Bombyx mori: one gene and its partners. The main gene of each other region encodes a partner of the protein of the gene in region 3 in a complex. Links are inferred from orthologs where the notes say so. Each region holds a gene or a part of one and is shown on either strand. Other genes may lie near its edges.

Region 1 (3,291 bases), on a different chromosome or scaffold from region 3:
GTTCAGATTAATTTGGTTTTGCTCTAAGAACTTTATCAATATGTAATCAAGGTCACCACTTTGGACCAGATGCATCCTTAAAACCTCCCATTTATTGCACCTATACTTTATTACCATCCACATCGTATGGTAATACTATAACTATAACTTCTATGAGTAGGAATAAAAAAATCATGCTTAGCATTAATTAATATGTCTCATAAAAATATTAATGGTATGGCCAGCCTTATTTTTATTTATTATCAGGGTGCTGGCAGAGAACTATTTCTGCAATTACTTAGGATGGTACAACATTTGATGCCTATAGGTGCCTATTATTGTTACTAGAATATAATATAATAGTATCTCTGTAGCATGATTGTACACAATCTAACTGACATGGCCAATTTTACGTCAAATAAATCTCTCATAAATCAATACACCTACTACCCCTATAAGAATACTATTTATTTGCAAAAAAAGGAATAAATCGCATACAACATGTTTCACAAAATAAATTAATTAAAATAGTAAGCATATATCAACTTTCAGAAGTATTTAATGATTTTTTTCTAGGTCCACCTCTATGTGATCAATAATCTTGCATGATTATAAAATCCTTTATTAAAAACAACATTTTCAACATTTCATAAAAATATTAAGGAATGCTACTTAAATATTTGAGCCTATTACATTATTTAAAACGATAAGAACAAAAACATTACAATTTTAACAATTAGAATGATATTTTTATAGATAAAAGATAATATTTTCTAAACTATACGTTGATTACAATTAAACAAAAAAAAAATATTATTTTATTTTATTAATTTTACACTTATGATCCCATTAGATTAGAGGTATCACAGAATACACTGTTCTATTGTTTGTTCTATAAAAGTAAACTATGGTTTACACACTATGGTTATTTGATCATACTATGCTAACAACACAATAATGTAAATAATAAAATATTATTTTATTTTATTAATTGCTCCAGTATTTCAGGATCGAGACCTTCTAACGAGACTTTGAGTTTCACTGCCTGCAATGGCACTCCTACTTGAACCATTTTAACAAATTTATCATATTCAGGTTTAGTTTTCATTTCTGCTGGGGCTTGGTCTTCTAGTTTTCTTTCTAGATTTTCTTCTTGGAGTTCTGTTTCATTTTGACTTTCAGTAGATTCAGTCTCTGTAACATTACTTGTATTTGTCTGCTTAGGAATGTCTAATTCTGGTATTGAAGATAACTGAAATCAATAAGTTTTATCTATTTATGTATCGGTTTGATGTATGCTATCAATTAAAATGAAGTTTTTGAGGCACATGGGCAATTAAAGAAATGGCATAAACACAACCTGAATAAGGATTATGGTGAAATGCAATGATGCCATATCTTAAAATTAGTAGTAGTCTAATTTCTAATCTGGTAGGAGACCGTTTTTTTTTTAATTCAATTGAAGCTTTATGCATTGCAAATATATCAATAGGCTGCTCTTACTTTATCAGATCAATCAACAGCTTTCCAGAGAAGGTCTTGCAGAAATGGTTTATTATGACTAATGATAGAAAATAAAAACATTTTAGATATCCGTTTTTGTTTACATACAATAATTTATAAAAATATAATCACCTTAGATTCTAACAAAACCATGGCAGCATTAACTTTTTCTAATTTTCTCTCAAACTGCATCAGTTTCTGCTCGCAATTCGTCATAAAGTTATTCAGAAATTGTACATTTATTGTTAGGAAATGATTTACAAATGCCAATGTACGTTTTTGATGTAATGCCGCAACCTGCAATTTGTTTTTTAAATATTAAAAATAAATTATTCTCATTTATAAAAAAATATTGTGTTTTCTAGAATTAGGAAGTTTATAAAGATAATCAAGGCCGTGAAGTTTGTACTGCATTAAATTTTACAACAAATAATAATAATTCCAAATTTAAAACCTTAGTTAAATCCGTTTGTGGGGATTCGGATTGAGTTAAATCTTCTTGGATGGTCATTTTCAGTAGAATATAAACAAGACGAAAAAGAAATTTGTCTTGTGGTTTGGAAGCTTGAATTTGTTTTGTTCTACTGAAAAAACCAAATTGAATTACATTTCAATACATTGACTAATAGGTCCACGAGTTTTAATTACACTAAGTTTAATATAAAAAGCACCTAATTATTTTACAATAACAATCTTTTTCCTTCCGTGACAGTCGTACCTATTTATTTACGTTAAAAGAGTATGTAAGCAAATTAAAAGGAATATTTCAGTAGGTACAGTAGGTACGGTACCACCACCTAAGTCTGACATTATTATCATTAATTTACATTTATCAATATAACACTATTCTTTGACAATAGTGCTACTGTCCACTGTCAATATTTGTAGTAGTTCTATTTTTCCAACTGGAAAGGCAAAAGTATCATACGATACAGCCTAAGTTATCATTGTATTTTATGAAAAATGATAATATGAAGTAAAATGAAATAGAGTTGATTAATTTGAAACAATAATCAATTGGCGTGAAATCTAAGTAAAATGATGGTTATTTACTGAGACTTTAAGGAAACTGCCACCTCGCCCCGGGCAACAGTCTCATCAAAGAGGGTACACACACGCATGATTGCGTCGATGGTAGACCGGCCCTTTCTGAAGCCGTACTGTTCGGCTGACCGATTGGAACCCGTCCTGGGGATGGGGCAGATGACGCATCCACGACTTGCTCCAACAATTTTCTAGTTTCGTCCAGCAACACGATGTGGTGGTACACCACGGATGACTCCTAGAGGAGCTCCTCTTTCCTCAGAAGGATGAATCTGTCCGATTTCCGTCCGGGCTCAAGGCAGGCTTCGAAAAGCCGCACAAGCCAATCCTCCAAAGTACCGAAGGCCTGACCTGGCCACGACTCCGTAGGAGATCTAACAGCTAAGGGCAACTGCTTCGCGAATGTATCTGTAATAAAATGTCTAATTTTGTAGTAATGAAAGCTTTTTAATCACTGAATACATGTGAAATGGCACAAGTTTTAAAAAATCAAACAAACATTGGACGTGTTCACACAAATCATCCACTCCTAGACGTGCAGCGACCGTATTTATTAGATTCCTGCGACTTTCAGTAGGACGTCAGTTCACCTCGTCGAAAGTCTATCTAAGCTGCGTCGTGTGTGGCTGCCACTCGAGAATATTTTCAAAATAAGTTCGTTGATCTCTCAGTAAGCACCATTGTTTCATTATCAACTCATCTAATATCTACTCGATGTGTTCTTCTTTCATTAAATTCCATTTTATAATATAATATTAATTTAAT
Region 2 (3,761 bases), on a different chromosome or scaffold from region 3:
TGAGTCCGTATAGAATTGGCGACATGTCGAATGTTAATTGAGCTCAAGTGTTTATTGTTGCTGCTTCTTTCAATAAATATTTGATTGTTTAGATTGTAAAGATACTTCGAAACGAATATATGAATGTTGCGCATAATCTCTAGTATATCTAGGCCCTGCTCCAGAGTCTGAGTTGGGAGATTATCTTGAACCGTTTTTAAATTGAATTTTAGTCTCGCCATTTGTCTCATTTCACCATAAGTTTTCCAATCTGATAATACAACGGTAGTTAGGTTGTAGAACATTGTTGAAAGATAGTGTTCAACTGATGGCACAACACACATGTAAATGTACTGAACTCTAAAAGTATTAATTGCTAGAAGCAATTTTTTTACCATTTCAAAAGTAAATGGATTGATTACATCAAGTTGAAGATGTGAATGTATATGCAATCGTAAATTTGTTTCAATATTCTGACTTGCACCTTTGATAAATTTTTGTTCCATGTACTTTTTAACTGTTTCCATAAAATCTTCTTTTATATTACTATCAAATAATTTATCTGTTTTATGTAATAGCACCGTACAGTCTTCTAAGGCCATTAAGAAGTATTTTAATTTTAAAGTACTCAATTGCATAGAAAAGTTTTGATCAAAGTAAATTGGAAATATGTTCTGATGCCAGAACAGCCAAGAGCAATTGCAAAAACTTTCCATTGATTTCATCAAGTTTGTCAATGTTTGAACATTCTCTAACAACAAACCAAGCTTTACATAGCTGTCTTCTAAATAAGTACTTTCAGGTATAAAGCTCAGTGCTGTGTTAGCTACTACATTTCGTTCAATTGTAGCTACGCCACGAAGTGCTTTTTCTGCAATAACGATGCATGTAAGTTCATCCAATCTTTTATTTGCGAAATTCTTGTCTGAAACTAATAATTTCTTTACTTCTAATATTGTTGATGTTGCTTGGAATACAAAATGTTGAATGACCATATTGATAGATAAAATTATTTGGCTTCTATGCCGTGATATTGCATTCAGCATTGATTTTAAAATATTGATTATCTCAAATACCAACATTAACATACTCTTTGGAAGAGGTATCCCAAGGGAAAGATGTAAATTTATCAATGTCAAAACTTCATGATTGATTCTGGATGCTAGGTCCAAGCCATTTAAAAGAGTTCTGGAATGTAAATTCATTTCAGCAGCACTAAGCCTATGATGATCAGCAGAAAAGAAATCTTCAATATTTAACACCCATTGACCACATACTATTTGAAGATTAATTATATCACGAGATAGGCTAGTTTTTTTCATATTGATATACGATTGCCGTGTTTTCAACATAGTTTGTGATAATTTTTCCTGTTTTGCACAAAGTGCAGGGGCATGTTTCTGTAGAAATTGCTCAGGATACCACATAGTTGTTCCAATCACATGAACACTGTGTGCCTGAAAAATAAGACTGTTTGTATAAACTTTATTCATTTCAGCTGGCTCTCTGTCTGTGCCATGTGTAAATGTTACAAAAGTTACAATTGCTATAAATAAAATTAACACCAACCTTTGTGTTCAATTCCACTAATGACTTAAATATCTTCTTGTCTACATTACCAAACAATTGTGAAGACAATACAAATAAACTATTAATTTTAATACATTTGTACATATTTCGAACATTGGGTTGTTCCTGTACAAGTTTGTCCAAATTTATAATTCCCTGTTTAAGGTAGTGTGAAAACTCTGTTGCTATCATAGAACAATTCTTGTCAATCAAGTTCTTTCTCAATAGTGATACACTTTGTAATGATTTTTGTACAATATCATCATTCATTATTTTGACTGTGATGTTATTAATAGCCCCCATCATTGCATTAAATTTCTCTTCAGTAATATCTAAAGCTGCCGAGTTCTTGTTATGGTATGTTTTTAATGTTTTGCAAAATTTATTCCAATTTGTGGGCATTGAAGTATTGGCTATCAGTATTTCAAGTAAGACAAGAATAGTAAATATCTCTCCAATGTGGTTGATGATATAGTGTAGTTGAATGCAATCTACAATATCATGTTAGTATTAAGGTCATTAATGAATAATTTCATTTTAATAATTCGAAATTTACAACTAATGTCGGGGCTATCTACTTTCAGTGATAGCATAAATTTAATCAAATAAAAAAATAATATGCTAATTTAACCATGTAATATTGAACAAAAATAATTAATAGTAAACTCACTGAGATTAACAGTTCCATCGGAAAACAAAGCAAAAACTTGGTTGCACATGTTTCTTAAAGTTTCATCACATCGAATGATAAATGCGCAGAGTAAGCATATCATTTCCATCTGGGAACTCACATCTTCTGTTTCATATTTTTCATAAGCAGCCAAGTAGATAAAATACCTGAAACACAATTAAAATATTGCTACATTCACTTGCATAATTAAAAGTTTACACTTCTGCTTAGACGTAACTGTGGAATGTTTCTTCATAAAAATGAGAATTTTTATAAAGTTCAATCATAGCTATTATTACTGTGGATTTTCGGAAACTCGATAAATAAAACTCACTTTTCAAAGGCTTCCTCTTTCAAGTTATTTACTTCAACACATAAGGAAGTAAACACACTCAAAACTTTAGTCATAAATGTGTTATCCGATACTACTAACTCAGTAATTGGTACGAGCTCGTGTGGACTCATGAGTAATTGAATCGGCAAAAATGTTTTATTATCATCTAGTATTTCATTATTGCAATTGAATGCCAAAACCTGATACTGCATCTTGAAAAATATGCCATATTTTTTTAAAATATTGCTTGTACTTTCTTTCTCGAAATCACTTTTCATTTTTATGCACTTGTATTTCAGATTAAAATAATATTGAAAGAAATAATCACTATGTACTTTTTGTTGACTATTAATTACGATAATTCTGTTTAAAATGTTTTTTGTTGATGTTTATTCTTCTTCTTCTTTATTTTTGGCTCTGGCACGTTTTGTGCATTAGCCAGCGTCAAGTAATAATGTTTTTATAATTCGCCGTTTTATTTATTTACAGTTTATAAATAATAAAAAACGAAGGAAACTTATCGCAACAAAACATAAATGATTTAGAACGAATTGAATTTACAAAAAAAATCAGAATAATTATATAACAGGGAAAATAAATCAAAATTATAGTTTAATGTTATTATTTAAAATAAACCTACTTAAAATACTATATACAAGGGGATTAAAATCTCGAAGAAGTAAAGAAATATTAGTAGGAAGGGGAACAGAGACAGATACTAAAGAAGTATATAAGGAAGAATGATCATATAAAGAACAAGCAAAGAAAATATGATTCAGGTCACAATAACTCTCGCCACACTCACAGGCGGTACCAGTTACGATACCAAGTTTGTGCAAATGAACTGGAAGGCTGTTATGTCCCAGACGCATACGAATTATAGTAGAAGTGGCGGTTTTACCAAACGACAATTTGGCAAACCATGGCTTCCTGGGAACGGAAGACTGTATAGCATACAAGAAACGACCCTTAATCCGGCCGCTCTCTTCCCAACACATATTCCACGATTTGTGGAGGCATATGCCGGGCAAAGCAGCAAGATCATGGCCAAAATTCTTGTACGGGTATACGTCACCGGTCACAGTAGCACTGTTGGCCAAACTGTCAGCTTTCACATTTCCAGATATGCCACAGTGACTAGGTACCCAACAAAATGATACTAAATAGTTGTGTGATTGGCAGTGCAACAGCTTTCTCTTACATTCAAAT
Region 3 (3,661 bases):
GAGAGTGAATCCGGGGGATCCAACAAGACATGTTTCGGCGACGGCGGTTTTGCGTTGACAAAATGACCTACATCCAGTAAGAAAACTTAGGTATGCATATTGATGATCATTTCAAAGGTATTTCGGTAGGTCTCAAAATTAGCTCTATACTCGTTCAATTTTTTTTTCCTACCTAGCTGAGAGCCTTGAGAGGCTATTTCAGCGTAACCTTAACTACTAGGTGAACTCACGGGGCTCAAACCTGACGACGTTGCTAACACGAACCCTAGCGAGAGCCGTGCTTCGCAGAATCTACCACCGGATCGGAAATGCGACCCACTGAGAAGATCCGGCGAGAAACTCAGTGGGCTGTGTCTGAGGGTTACTCGTTCAAGAGGTCATAAGTTCGACACTAAGAATGTTCCGCCAAGTTTTTTTAAAGCTATATTTAGTAACTAGCGACCCGCCCTCGCTTCGCTTCGGAAACATTAAAACAAACATGAAACCAAAAAAAAAAATTTAAAAAAAGTAGCCTATGTTCATCAGGGACAATGTCGGCTTCTAATGGAAAAAGAATTTTTCAAATCGGTCCAGTAGTTTCGGACCCTATTCGAAACAAACAAACAAACAAATCTTTCCTCTTTATAATATTAGTATAGATAACGTAAGGCATGTTTACACGTGTTATTGACACGAGCAATAGACAAGTTTTAGACGTTCTCTATTGAGCAAGCATAATTTCAAAACAAATGACCCGGTGCCTCATTTAGTTGTGGTAAAATAAGATCCTTGAGTGTTTTTAATTAGAGCCTATTTCCTTGAAATTGACTTATAGTATCTGTGGTCAAATATTCGTGTTACAAAAATGGCAGAAATACTTCGAGACAGTATTAGATTTAGGGTAATTTTTTTTATATTTATGTACCGACTCGACATTGCCTATATTATGTACCTACTACGTTTTTGATTTGACACTGACTGACATTACGATGTGACAACAGTATAATTATCTATCATTTATCGTACCGTTTTGCACGCTGATTCGAATACTTTAGTCGACCACGGAATAATATTTTTAAATTTCGATAAAATCAGACACGACGACCGCCAATCGAAAGGTCAAGTACTAAACCAGATATTAAGATTATGTTTTCAACATTTGATTCAAGATATCCTTACCTCGGGTGCTTCAGAATCGACCGCGTGCCGTAACTTCGCTCTCCCAGCACCGCCCGCGCTCCTGATCGCAGCCATGAGGTCCGCGTGAGCATCACCAGTGCCGGGAGGAGATAGCGGCGAAACTTTCTCTTCACTGTTAAACAAACGGAGTCATTTTAGAACAAAATGTGGCCACCGTCACTCATTAATTTTAACACTGCCGAGCAGAGAGCCCAGTCCCGCTGCCTGATCTTGAGGACTCCCTTATAAAGAATATAAGACAATATAAGCGTGCTGTACGTGCAGAGCCACTAGTAGAAGTTCGTTTAATCCATTTAAAAATCATGAGTTTACATTCATCGGTAAATCTTATTTTTATAATTTACTATATAGCTGACCCGGCAGACTTCGTAGTTCCTCAATCGAGAAATAAAAGACTTAAACTTTTGTATAAAATAAACTTAAAACAAACAAAAGGAACTCGTCCGAAAAAAAAAAACAAAATTGTTATTTTTATTTAATTCCGAGCATTTTCATATTTATCTACCTTTTAAACCTTCTCTGGAATTCCACAAATTATTCAAGACCAAAATTAGACAAATCGGTCAATATAGGAGTTAAAAATCATTTTTCAAATTTCAACATACATTGATGCACGAACTGGGATATTGAATGCGATTGCATTACGATATGTAAATGATGTGAGAATTGTAAAGCGAACATTGATTATCGTACGTGAGCTTGTCGCGCGACACGGCCAAGGCCATTCCGTAATTATGAACCAGTACAATATACTGCTCTGCTTGTGAATTTATTAATAGACTAGCTGACCCGGCAGATTTCGTAGTGCCTTAAATAAACTTAAAACGAACAAACGGAATCCGTCGGACGGGGGACACATCAAAGGAAAAACAAAATTGTTGTTTTCATTTAATTCCGAGCATTTTCATATTTATCTACCTTTTAAACCTTCTCTGGACTTCCACGAATAATTCAAGATCAAAATTAGCCAAATTGGTCCAGCCGTTCTCGAGTTTTAGCGAGACTAACTTCGATCAGTACTATTATTGATCGAAGGAGACTAACGAACAGCAATTCATTTTTATATATATAGAAGAAGAAGATAGAAGACAAGATCAGTAAAAGCTTCGTTTATACGATCCCATTTATTTAGTGTACAAGAAAATAATGTTAATTCAATTTTATTTTTTATTATTGATAATATAGGTGAACGAGCTCACGACACACCTGGTGTTAAGTGGTTACCGGAGCCCATAGACATCTACAACGTAAATGCCAACGCCCATCTCGAGACATGACTTTTAAGGTCTCAGTATAGTTATACGGCTGCCCCACCATTCAAACCAAAACGCATTACTGCTTCACGGCACAAATAGGCAGGGTGGTGGTACCTACCCGTGCGGACTCACTAAACGTCGTCGTACCGCCAGTAAAGCTAATTATGTAGGTAAAGCAAATTTTAATTAAATGCTATTATGCTTCGAATAACACAAACAAATTACCAAACTTCCACTAATTACCCAATTTAATTTCTATTTTAATATTGGCTGTCCATTTTTTTTGTTACTAAGGAGCTACGACAAAGTAAAGAAGGCGCAATTAGGTAAGATAATGGCACCTAATTGTGCGGGCTCAAATACGCCCTACTGCTATATCAATTTATCCGTCATAATGTTATTGGCAGATGTATAAAAAACAGGAAGACGCGACAGGAAAAATAAATTGATTCCCATGTATCTACTGAAGTATCACACGCATCTCATGCGTGACAATGAGGGATTGAGATTTGAATTGAGAAGCGAATGAAGTGGTACGAATATGTTTGTGATACTTAATAATCGCATATTTACATCAAAAAAATATGTTATTTATTGTCATTTATTATTATTATTATTTTTATTGCTCTGGTGGGTGGACGAGCTCACAGCCCACCTAGTGTTAAGTGGTTACTGGAGCCCATGGGCATCTACAACGTAAATGCGCCACCCCCCTTGAGATATAAGTTCTAAGATCTCAGTATAGTTACAACGGCTGCTCCACCCTTCAAACCGAAACGCATTACTGCTTCACGGCAGAAATAGGCAGGGCGGTGGTACCTACCCGCGCGGACTCACAAGAGGTCCTACCACCAGTAAAAAATTAGTCAAAGACATGAACTTATCTCGGTCGTTATTAATGGTTAAAATGCCCGGACGACTGAAGTGTCATTAGATTTGAATATTGTGCTAACTAACGCTAATTATTTCACGAGTACATTAGATCCCCGTACGAATACGTTGCTAGCAGGTTGCGCAATACCGTCTTTACCATAAGGGCACACGGGGCCCGTGCCCAGAGCCCCCATTCTCAGGGGGCCCCTAAGGACCGACAATTTCTCTCACACATTTATTCTCAAAACATTTTTGTTGGGCGCATTACACTTTTTTTACAAATCAGTAATCTTATCAGAAGGTATTTACAAGGCATATACTACGCCATTATATCGATGACTGCGCCTATTCCT

Evidence for each region.
Region 1: WASH complex subunit 1 (region 3) and WASH complex subunit 3 share a complex: the UniProt entries of both Homo sapiens proteins name them as parts of the WASH core complex. The link is inferred for Bombyx mori from reciprocal best matches to the Homo sapiens genes WASHC1 and WASHC3.
Region 2: WASH complex subunit 1 (region 3) and WASH complex subunit 4 share a complex: the UniProt entries of both Homo sapiens proteins name them as parts of the WASH core complex. The link is inferred for Bombyx mori from reciprocal best matches to the Homo sapiens genes WASHC1 and WASHC4.

Annotation. Positions count from the first base shown.
Region 1 is NC_085118.1:943,620-946,910, reverse strand, and holds WASH complex subunit 3, read right to left. Parts: upstream 2,350-3,291; 5' UTR 2,201-2,349; exon of another isoform or gene 2,154-2,200; intron 2,067-2,153; 5' UTR 1,994-2,066; coding exon 1,937-1,993; intron 1,780-1,936; coding exon 1,615-1,779; intron 1,232-1,614; coding exon 959-1,231; 3' UTR 586-958; downstream 1-585. UniProt on the Homo sapiens protein: Acts as a component of the WASH core complex that functions as a nucleation-promoting factor (NPF) at the surface of endosomes, where it recruits and activates the Arp2/3 complex to induce actin polymerization, playing a key role in the fission of tubules that serve as transport intermediates during endosome sorting.
Region 2 is NC_085118.1:10,740,134-10,743,894, forward strand, and holds the start of WASH complex subunit 4, read right to left. Parts: upstream 2,831-3,761; coding exon 2,553-2,830; intron 2,386-2,552; coding exon 2,219-2,385; intron 2,040-2,218; coding exon 1,549-2,039; intron 1,437-1,548; coding exon 1-1,436. UniProt on the Homo sapiens protein: Acts as a component of the WASH core complex that functions as a nucleation-promoting factor (NPF) at the surface of endosomes, where it recruits and activates the Arp2/3 complex to induce actin polymerization, playing a key role in the fission of tubules that serve as transport intermediates during endosome sorting.
Region 3 is NC_085123.1:2,973,286-2,976,946, forward strand, and holds part of WASH complex subunit 1, read right to left. Parts: intron 1,292-3,661; coding exon 1,159-1,291; intron 1-1,158. UniProt on the Homo sapiens protein: Acts as a component of the WASH core complex that functions as a nucleation-promoting factor (NPF) at the surface of endosomes, where it recruits and activates the Arp2/3 complex to induce actin polymerization, playing a key role in the fission of tubules that serve as transport intermediates during endosome sorting.